3 linked regions of the Canis lupus familiaris genome follow. The protein of the gene in region 2 purifies or fractionates together with the protein of the main gene of each other region. This does not show direct contact. Links are inferred from orthologs where the notes say so. Each region holds a gene or a part of one and is shown on either strand. Other genes may lie near its edges.

What was found.
Region 1: the proteins of YAP1 (region 2) and WBP2 purify together in Homo sapiens (affinity purification with mass spectrometry; 7 studies listed by BioGRID and IntAct, with this or other methods). This does not show direct contact. The link is inferred for Canis lupus familiaris from reciprocal best matches to the Homo sapiens genes YAP1 and WBP2.
Region 3: the proteins of YAP1 (region 2) and AMOTL2 purify together in Homo sapiens (affinity purification with mass spectrometry; 10 studies listed by BioGRID and IntAct, with this or other methods). This does not show direct contact. The link is inferred for Canis lupus familiaris from reciprocal best matches to the Homo sapiens genes YAP1 and AMOTL2.

The regions. Positions count from the first base shown.
Region 1 is NC_049230.1:5,630,224-5,633,491, reverse strand, and holds the end of WBP2 (WW domain-binding protein 2), read right to left. Parts: intron 2,756-3,268; coding exon 2,621-2,755; intron 2,402-2,620; coding exon 2,279-2,401; intron 1,852-2,278; coding exon 1,775-1,851; intron 1,670-1,774; coding exon 1,616-1,669; 3' UTR 515-1,615; downstream 1-514. UniProt on the Homo sapiens protein: Acts as a transcriptional coactivator of estrogen and progesterone receptors (ESR1 and PGR) upon hormone activation. In presence of estrogen, binds to ESR1-responsive promoters. Synergizes with YAP1 to enhance PGR activity.
Region 2 is NC_049226.1:29,535,176-29,537,647, reverse strand, and holds part of YAP1 (transcriptional coactivator YAP1), read left to right. Parts: intron 1-833; coding exon 834-1,072; 3' UTR 1,073-2,472. UniProt on the Homo sapiens protein: Transcriptional regulator with dual roles as a coactivator and corepressor. Critical downstream regulatory target in the Hippo signaling pathway, crucial for organ size control and tumor suppression by restricting proliferation and promoting apoptosis.
Region 3 is NC_049244.1:31,681,999-31,685,749, reverse strand, and holds the start of AMOTL2 (angiomotin-like protein 2), read left to right. Parts: upstream 1-1,464; 5' UTR 1,465-1,591; intron 1,592-3,751. UniProt on the Homo sapiens protein: Regulates the translocation of phosphorylated SRC to peripheral cell-matrix adhesion sites. Required for proper architecture of actin filaments.

The sequences.
Region 1 (3,268 bases), on a different chromosome or scaffold from region 2:
CAAGAGACGGACAGAGTCCAGCGCTTTCTCAGAGCCCCAGGCCCACTGAGGCCAGGCCCAGGCTCTCCTCCAGGCCAGGGCCCAGGGGCTGCAGGCCTGGGCATGGGCTCTGGGGGTTTCCTTCCCTCCCCTACACCCAGACGTGGAGGTTCACAGGAGCAGCCACGCGCTGGAGGGACTGCCTGGCACGTTCCTCCTGCAGGCACTGGGCCAGGGCCGCTCTTCCCCGGGGTGGGGAGCACAGCAGCCCAGCAGCCCGGCGCCTGCCTCCAGGGTCTCCCGCCCAGGGCAGCTGCTGTTGCTGCTGCTGCCCAGGCCCCAGGGGACCCCACGGGTGGGCCAAGCTGCTGAGTCATCAGCACAGACTAGAGCCATGGGGGGCCTTAGCGTGGGAACCAAGGGCTCTCACATGCGGAGGGGACGGTCTCCCCACGGGGCCACCCTCAGGGCCCTTAGCAGCAAGACCCCTTTCCCCAAAGAGTTCACACTGGTCACCACACAGAGCCAAAAAGGGTCCAGTCACTTCATTTTTACTACTTCACATTTTCAGCAAATAAAGGTGCAAACAGGGTTTATTTCACATTAATATATTAACTGTTTTTTTTTTTTTTTTTTTTTGTCAAATAAATAGGGAATTCTCTTTTAAATAACCATCTCCTCCCTTCTCGGCCAGTCCAGAAGCAAATGAAAGCAAATTTTAATGCATCCAGGGGGCATATCACCAATTATGCATGAAGCTTAAATGGACAAGGGCAGGGGGAGGGGCTGGTGAGGAGGTCACGGACAGCACACACAGGCTCAGGCCAGGCCCCAGGGGTCAGCACCCAGCAGCCCCAACACGGCATGATGGAATGAACATGCATTCTCCAGTTCCAGTCTGAGAAGCCCCTTCTAGAGGGAGAAGAGAGAAGGCCAAGGGAAACAAAAACCAAAAATGGAGGGAAGCAGTGGGCTCCCTCCCCATCACAGCAGTCTGGCCGGATGCCGCCCACCTTTCAGAAGCTCAAGTTAAAGCTCCAAAAGCCAAAGTGGTGGCAACAGAGGACCAAGGACAGAACAGGGAGGAGAAGGTGAGTGTGACCGGGCTGGAAGCTGGCTGGGATTGGAATGTGGGCCAAGAGCCCGGTGAGAACGTGGCCTTCCACAGGTAGGTACAGACCAGAGTGGAGGGAAGGTGAGAGGGGCCCGGCAGGGCCCCCAGGAAGACACAAGGCTGGTCTGAGGGAGTTCACAAGGCTGAGTATAAAGTGGATTCCAAAACGAGGGAGCTGGACTGCGGTAGAGGAGGTGGCCAGAGAGTCCCTCTGTGGGCAGAAGCTACTAGAGCAGGACAGGAACGAGGTGGATGCCCGCGCTCCTGAGCAGAACCCCGGAGATGGTGAGAGGGGAGCGCATCCGAGCGGCACCCTGGGCTCTGAGCTTGAAAAGCGGGAGGCATGGCTCCCAAGTCAAGGGGTGCCCCCCCTTCCCTCAACACCAGTCTCTGGGAAGTATTTTATAATCAGACCTGGAGGAAGAACAGGGCCCCTTCCATCACCCTCCTAGCCCCAGTGTCAGCCCCCAGGAGAAGGGAAGGGGAGAGTGATGAGGGGTGGGAGGCAGGGGCAGGAGGGGTCTACTGCGTCTTCTTATCTTCTGGGGGGTAGTAGGGAGGTGGCGGAGGCTGGTTCTGAGGGAGGAAGGAAAAAAAATCCCATTAGAAGGTTCACGACAAGACAAGGTCTCCCTGCCCCAAACCCTTGAGAGCTGTCGGCCCGCCCCCGGCCCGGCTCACCGTGGGCATGTAGACATTGTGTGGGTTGCCCGGGTTGTAATAGGCGCTGGCAGCCGCTTCTGCAGCCTTGGCTTCAGCTGTGAGAGCAAACACACTCCGGGTGAGCCCCAGCGACAAGCCCTCCCCTCTTCCAGTTGCCCCCGGAGGCGGTGCTACTGGGTCCCTTCCAGTCCCTTTACCCACTTCTCCCCACCTGATCCTCCGCACAATCCCACCATGTGGTACTGCCACTATCTGATCGTGGATGATGAGATGACAGAGGGAGATCTTCTCCGCCCCAGGGCCCACAGCTAGCGGCGGGGGGAGGGGTGGGGGGAAGGACGACTGGAATCTAGATCTTCACCAGCAGCCACCACACTGCCAATCCCCTGGACTAGACCAAGCCCAGGGGTCATTCACCATTCAGGGCTCCTGGCCAATCTCTAGCCGTTTGCTGAGCTCTCCATGCAGCCATGGAGAGGAGAGAGCTGGCCCCCCAGGACTGCTAGCAGCCCAGGGTCTCACCTGCTGGAGTGGAGGGGACATCAGGGCCGCTGACTGGAGGCTCCATGGGCCCAGGGTAGGGCGGCGGTGGAGGCTGCACATATCCCATGGCCCCATCCATCATGGGAGGTCCTGGATAGAACTCTGCTCCACAAGAGAGTGATAGAGACCCAGTGAGCAACCTAGCCCCCAGCTCCCTCAGCTGGCACCTCCCGGGCCTCTCCAGCTCCTCCATTTGTCCTGAAGCAGCTCAAAGAACAAGTCTCCCCTCTACAACCCCCTGGCCTGGCCGGGGGAGGGGTAGGGGTAGGGGTGATTAGTGGGAGGGGGGTAAAGGGGGTGGGCAGCAAAGGACACACTCACCAGGTGGGGGCGGTGGATAGGGGTAGCCAGGAGGGCAGGGGTACATTCCATTGGCGACTGGCGGGGGAAAGACATAGGCCCCGCTGGGCGTGTAAGAATACCCATAGGCTCCATTGGGGGCTTCACCTCGGGAGGCTATAAGTACAAGGGGAGAGAGAAGTGAGTGTCGTCTACCGAGGGGAGCTGCAGGGTCCCGGGAATGTGCACAGCAGACATGCCTTACTCCGTCCCATTCCATTCCCCACCCACGCTTGAGCCAGCCTCTTGAACAGAGAGGAAGTGAGGGATCTGGATGGGGACAGAGGTCAGAGCCAGGGTAGGGTAGGGTAGGGCCAGGGCAGAGGAGGACAGATAGACAGAGAGAAAGAGGGGGGCTCAGGGACGGGGGACTAGAAGGAGCTGGAGTAAGGCTGGGGACAACGTGAGGATGTCTGCTGAACACACCCCTTGGTGATTTAAACTGCCTAATGGTTGCTTAACGGTTGGGTTTCTTGTTTGTTTTTATAAGGCCACAGTAAAACGTCTCGGAGTCCAAAGAGCTGTGTCAAGATGTCCTATCCAGGCTCCAGACAGGGTAACCCAGCCTCTGAGATACAGGCCACAGTGACAAGCTAATGACAAGCTTCCTTCCCAATTCCCAGCCTCGGT
Region 2 (2,472 bases):
TCTCCCGCTGGCCACCTCTTTGGCCGACAGCTCCTCAGAGTGTTTGGCGCATCTTTTCTGCCTGTACTCATCCTGCTTGTGGCCTTGGTGTGTCCTCCAGTGCTCACCACCCCTCCTCTTCATTTCCCTGAATCTGAGATCACCATATTCCGGTGCCTCTGAGACTGTCTCTTGCCCATCATGCTTTTTTCCTTGTCCTCTCCCCAACGTCTCCATTCTCCAGAACCCTGGAGCTCTCAGTGGGCAGTGTCCATGTTCCTGGAAGCTCTAAGGAATGTTAACGTTATGTTCAAGAAAGGCTTCCAGGCCAGATAAACCAGGCACCTCTAGAAGGAAAGCTAGAGAGATTCTGTATATACAAGGACTCAGGAAACTGGTTTGCCATTAGGAGTGTGACTTTCCCAGAGCAGAAGGCAGTTTTCATCTAGTCCTTTTTCCTTCTTTTACAGTTCCCCCGTGTGCCAGGTAAAGAAAGAGGCGTCTGTGAGCATCATTTCTATATTTTATCTACCATATAGTTTGACCTGGAGAGTCTGCAGTGACACTCTTGTGTGGCATTCTTGTTCTCTCTCCCTTGCTGTCCATAAGTTTTTGAGGGATTTTTATTTTTTCTTGTGAGGCCTTTTGGTGCTGAGCACTTAGTAATAAAACATTGAGCTGTTGCTTCAGCATCTGTGCACATGTTAAAACAGAAGTAAACTTGGTATTTTGTTTTCTGCGAGCTGTTTAACCTAAAGTAAACTGTGGGAGTTGGCGCAGGAGGTCGGTCTCCATTCATTTCTGGATGCTCACCTAATGGAGCTCTGATGTCTGCTTTTCTCCATCCCAACTAGGTGATACTATCAACCAAAGCACCCTGCCCTCCCAGCAGAACCGTTTCCCAGACTACCTAGAAGCCATTCCTGGGACAAATGTGGACCTCGGAACGCTGGAGGGAGATGGGATGAACATAGAAGGAGAGGAGTTGATGCCAAGTCTGCAGGAAGCTCTGAGCTCTGACATCCTTAACGACATGGAGTCCGTGCTGGCTGCCACCAAGCTGGATAAAGAAAGCTTTCTCACATGGTTATAGAGCCCTCAGGTAGACCGAATTCCAAATCTGTGAAGGATCTAAGGAGATGAGACGTGTATGCTCGAAATTTCCAAGTAAGCCAGTCGTAGTCTTCTGGCTGACACCGAAAAAGATGAACAGACGTCCAGCAAGATTCTTTCATCCACTATTTTGCTCTTCGTGTCCATTGCTGCTGTTAATATGTTGCTGACCTCTTTCATAGTTGGCTCTAAAGAATCAAAAAAAAAAAAAAAAAAAAAAAACTTTTTTTTGTTTCTTTTGCTATTATAACTACTGTTCGTTTTGGGGGCTGGGGGAAGTGAGCCTGTTTGGATGATGGATGCCATTCCTTTTGCCCAGTTAGGTGTTGACCGATCATTTTAACTAAATCCTCAGACTTGGAAGTCAAATGCTTCATGTCACAGCGTTTAGTTTGTTCAGGCAATTGTTTCTTCAGCTGCCTTTGGCCAGTGGAGAAACATGACTTACTGGTCTGCCAAGCCAAAAATGTTGTATGGATGTTGAGTCCTTAATGCTGATGTGATGAGCTAGCTGAAACCAAGGCTGAAGACTGTTCTGCTTTCCCTCACACTGCTAGCATTAGTCACAGAGTGACCTTGATTTTATTTTAGGAGCTTCTGAGGCATGAGACAGTTTCCATAGAAATATATTAATTATTGCCACATACTGTAGTATAGGTTTTGGTGGGTTTTATTGTGGGTTTGGTTTTTTTTGTTCGTTTTATTTTGTTTTGATTGGTTGGGTTGTGCTTTTTTTTGTTTTTGTTTTTCCCCCAGAACCGAGACAAATTACCATAGTAGCCAATCTGTTTATAGTTGTTGCTTGGTGCAGTTATTGTAGTTCCTTTGGTAAAATCTACATTTCCTAATTTTTTACCATCTTATTTAAATCTTGATTATCTGCTCTCTCTATATATATACCCCCACACACACTTATAAGGTTTATAATAGTGTGATAGCAGAATGTATCTTTTTTTAAGGTTTCCATACTTTCCAATTTATTTTAAAATGGTAGTTTTGAATGTATGTATTTAGAATATGTGACTAGTAGTTTATATCTCACGGTAGTGTAAATCTGATTGAGACAGTCTGCAGACATTAGAGGTAGTTATTCTAGAAAGCATAGTGTCTGGAGGAGTACTATATGCACTCTGGGCACACAATATTGTCTGATGAATTTGAAAGAAGCAAACAAGATACAGCTTTATTTTCCCTTGACACTCCCATGGACTAATTTTGAACCTTGTTGGGAAATCACTAAGTAGGTTCATAACATACATGGAGACTTGCTCCTACTTCTGTATGCCGAGAATTGACCCTGGAAGTATATATAGAATACTGCCGAGGGTATAAGTTAGCTGGTAAAGTGATCAGATTAATTAATGTATATCAGTAGTTGAG
Region 3 (3,751 bases), on a different chromosome or scaffold from region 2:
CCTGGAGACCTGGGATGGAGTCCCACATCGGGCTCCCTGCATGGAGCCTGCTTCTCCCTCTGCCTGTGTCTCTGCCTCTCTCTCTCTCTCTCTCTCTCTGTGTGTCTCTCATGAATAAATAAATAAAATCTTAAAAAAAAAAAGTAAGTAAGTAAAACTGGATGGAACTGGAGGGTGTTTTGCTGAGTGAAATAAGTCAACCCGAGGACAATCATCATGTGGTTTCACTCATGTGTGGAATATAAGAAATGGTGAAAGGGACCATAAGGGAAGGGAGGCGGGAAACTGAGTGGGGAAAAGTTAGAGAGGGAGACCATGAGGGACTCCTAACTCTGGGAACCAAAGGGTTGCAGAGAGGGAGGTGGGTGAGGAGGCTCGGGTAACTGGATGATGGGCACTAAGGAGGGCATGGGATGAGCACTGAGTGCTATACTATATGTTGGTAAATTGAATTGAATTGAAATTTAAAAAGAGAAAAGAAAAAACTGAGCAGCCATCGGTTACTTGGCTTCATCACTTCTGCTCCGCGTGACCCTGGGGCAAGCTAATTAACCTCCCTGGGCCTTGGTTTCCTCATTTAAACTCAGGGATGATAACAGAATTCCCTGGGAGGATGACTTGGGAGGACTGCCTGGGATGACGAGGCGAGGAGCGGGTGGTGGCACACCGTGCACCCTGCGTAAATTCGGGGATGCCCATTACTACCTTTTTCCAGAAATGTTGGACAGAGCGCCTGCCCGCGGGTGATTCAAGTAGTTCGGTGGCTCCAATTAACCGGAAGATTCTCAACCCAGATTCACACTTCCTGTGGAGACAGGCCCTAAAAGAGCTGGCAAAGGTGTTTGTAAACAATAACAGGGCAATTCAAGGGTGGCCGCTGGCGGTGAGAGCAGTGGGGGTTCGGAGACTCGAGCCGGACCGAGGTAGAGTCCAAGCAAGCCGGGCGGGTGTGGACATCTTGACAGTCCTCCTCCCCTTGCACACACACACACACACACACACACACACACACACACACGGGGCCCCTCTCCCTGCAGCAAAGCCCAGAACCCCTTGGGGACCCGCGACTGCCCATCTCCGGGTGTCGTTTCGCGGATGGGCTGAAGGAGTGGGTGCAAGGTGGAGGTGGGGACGGGTCGGGGGGGGGGGTGGCAATGGCCGAGGGCATGAATCCGTCCCCAGCAGCCCCGGGGGCCCACGGCGGTGGCGTGGGGAGGCCGCGGAGGGAGGCGCCGCGCGTCCCGGGGACCGAGCTCCGGGACCGAGCTCCGGGGCGCGCGGCACCGCCTCCCGGGAGGAAGGCGGGGGCCGGGAGGAGGGCGGGGAGGAGGCGGAGGGCGGCGGAGGGCGGAGGAGGGCGGCGCGCTGCGAGGTTATTTGTGGTTCGCTTTGATCCCGAGGGGGAACCTGAAACTCTCACATTCCTGGCATAGCAGCCGCCTCCGGCGCGGGCCGAGCCTGGAGCTGCGCGCCGGGGCCCGGGCGGCCAGAGCGTCGGCGCCGCCGCCGAGTGCACACCGCCACCGCCGCCGCCACCGAGCCGGGCGAGCCGCGCCGGGCCGACCACGCCGAGCACCCGCGGGCCGCAGCGGTAAGGACGGCCGCCCGGCGCCTCGGGGAGCGCGGCCCGGGAGCCACGGTGCAGCCGGAGCCCCCGCGCAGCCCGCCCTTCCCGGGAGCGGGAGCGGGAGCGGGAGCCGGAGCCCGGCGCGGCGCGGCGAGCGACCCCGGGTGCGGGGCGCCCTTGCGAGGAAGCGCAGAGGCGGCCCGGGGCCGTCCCGAGCTCTGGGCGGCCCGCGGGCCCCCTGGGGCGGGGGGAGGGGGCAGCCTTTGCGGGGAGCGGGGGCTTATGCTTCGGGTCGTGGGCTGGGCAGAGGGGCGCCGCTGCGGGTTCAAGGTGCGGGCCCTGGGGCCGATCCGGTTGGGGGCAGATCACAGGTGTCCTTGCCCCCAACCCGTCCAAGAATTCCTCTTTGTCTTCCTTGGAAAATCCTCTCTGGAGCCTCGGAACGGCTCTCACTTAGAAAGAATGCGGCCGGCCGGCCAGCCCGGTGACGTCAGCGCTGGAGCATTCGGAAAACAAAGAGGGCTCGGGAGGCCGGGAGGGAGGCGGACCCGCGACGCTTAAAGACCTTGCTGGGCCACCGGCCCCCGCCCCCCCCCCCCCCCCCCGCGCGCTCCGGGTGCTCGCGGTCGGCCGGGAGCCCGGGCAGGGCGGCATCCCTGCTGCGGTGCACGCCTCCTTAGAGACCCTCGCGTGGGTTCCGTAGGCGAGGCCGAGCCCCGGCGCGAGCCGGAGTGGTTTGCTTACCGGGGAGGGGGCGCTGGTTTTCAGGAAGCCGGGGTGCGCCGGTGCAGCGAAGGTGCATGGCCGGGTCGCGGTCACAGATTTTAGTAACGGCTCAGCCGAAAGAATGTGCATCTGAGGGGTCTGACGGGGACAAACGCGGCACAGGGGCCCCGGAGGTGCTCCCGGCTCCCAGGCTCACGGCTGCGGGGGGGACACGAGGAGCCCGTCCCGAAAGCTCTGCACGCCACCCCCCCCCCCTTCTCCCCACCCTGCTCCCCACCGTCATTCTCGGCTGGAGAGTCAGCCCAGACTGATTACTTTAGGAAATGCCCCGCGGAGGAAACTCTAGGGCGAATTGATTGCAGTTTGTTTTGCCTCTGGTAACTCTGGAGTCTTGCATCTCCACGCCTCCGGGGTGTAGGGAGAGGGGGCGGCCGATTGGGTGCCAAGAAGGATGGGCACAGAGATGCCTTCCAGACTCCTCTCCCTCTCCTCATTTCTGGGCAGCCTGGAGGGAGGAGTAGATTGGCACTGGCTGCTCTGCCAACCTACCAAACCTTAAAGGCAGCAGGGCAATGGGGCTAGTTTTGTGGCCGAGAAGGGACCACATTCTTCCCACTGACCTCCCCCCATACATAAGACCTGTGGGGATAGGGGTTTTGTTTGGTTTTCCCTGAATCTAGTTAGGAGTTTTGTGTGGGAGGAGGCTGTGGAAGGAAGCTGGGTGAGGCAGGCAGCCTCGGGACATGAGCCACTGAGAGCCCAAGCTCAGAGGGCAATACCTTCCTCAGGAGATACTCCCTGCTCTTGAAGCTTCCAGCAGCCCACCCCCGCCCCAGACTCCGGTCCCTGCAACCAAGAGCTTCTCCCTCGCTCCCCTACTCCTCCAGTTAGCTCAGATAAGTGTTACCGATGGCAAAATGCTGAGTGCCCACCCTCTATGTGGCAGAGGGCCATCGGGGTCTTTTCCAAGTAGCAAGTGTACGTGTGTAGGAGGGACAGTCCTAAAGTCAAAGACACGGTGCCGCCCTTTGTTTTTCCTGGAGCACCCATGCAGTTGCTGTCAGCACACAGACTATGACTGACCCACAAACCTTGACGGGTGGCATCTTTTTCACCTCATTTCACAAAACCATCGTCCTGTTGTAGCTTCTCCTTTGATCCCTTATTATTTGCCAAACCCGATGCATTTTTGTCCTTCCTGTTCACCTTGCAGAGTGACCGTCAAGGTCATCCCGTGACAGAGAGGGCCCAGCATGGTAAAGGTGGTAGAGGGTGGTGAGTTACCCGTGCCAAGCCTAGGGCTCAGGCATGCTACATTCTAGAGGGAGCTAGGGGCTGTCTGCCTAGGGCTTCTACTAGGCTGGACTCCTTCTTTATCACCTGCCAATGAACTGGGGCCCTGTCTACCCCTAGACTGGCCTGCTCAGTGGTTGTAGCTGAACTACTCCTGCCCTGGAG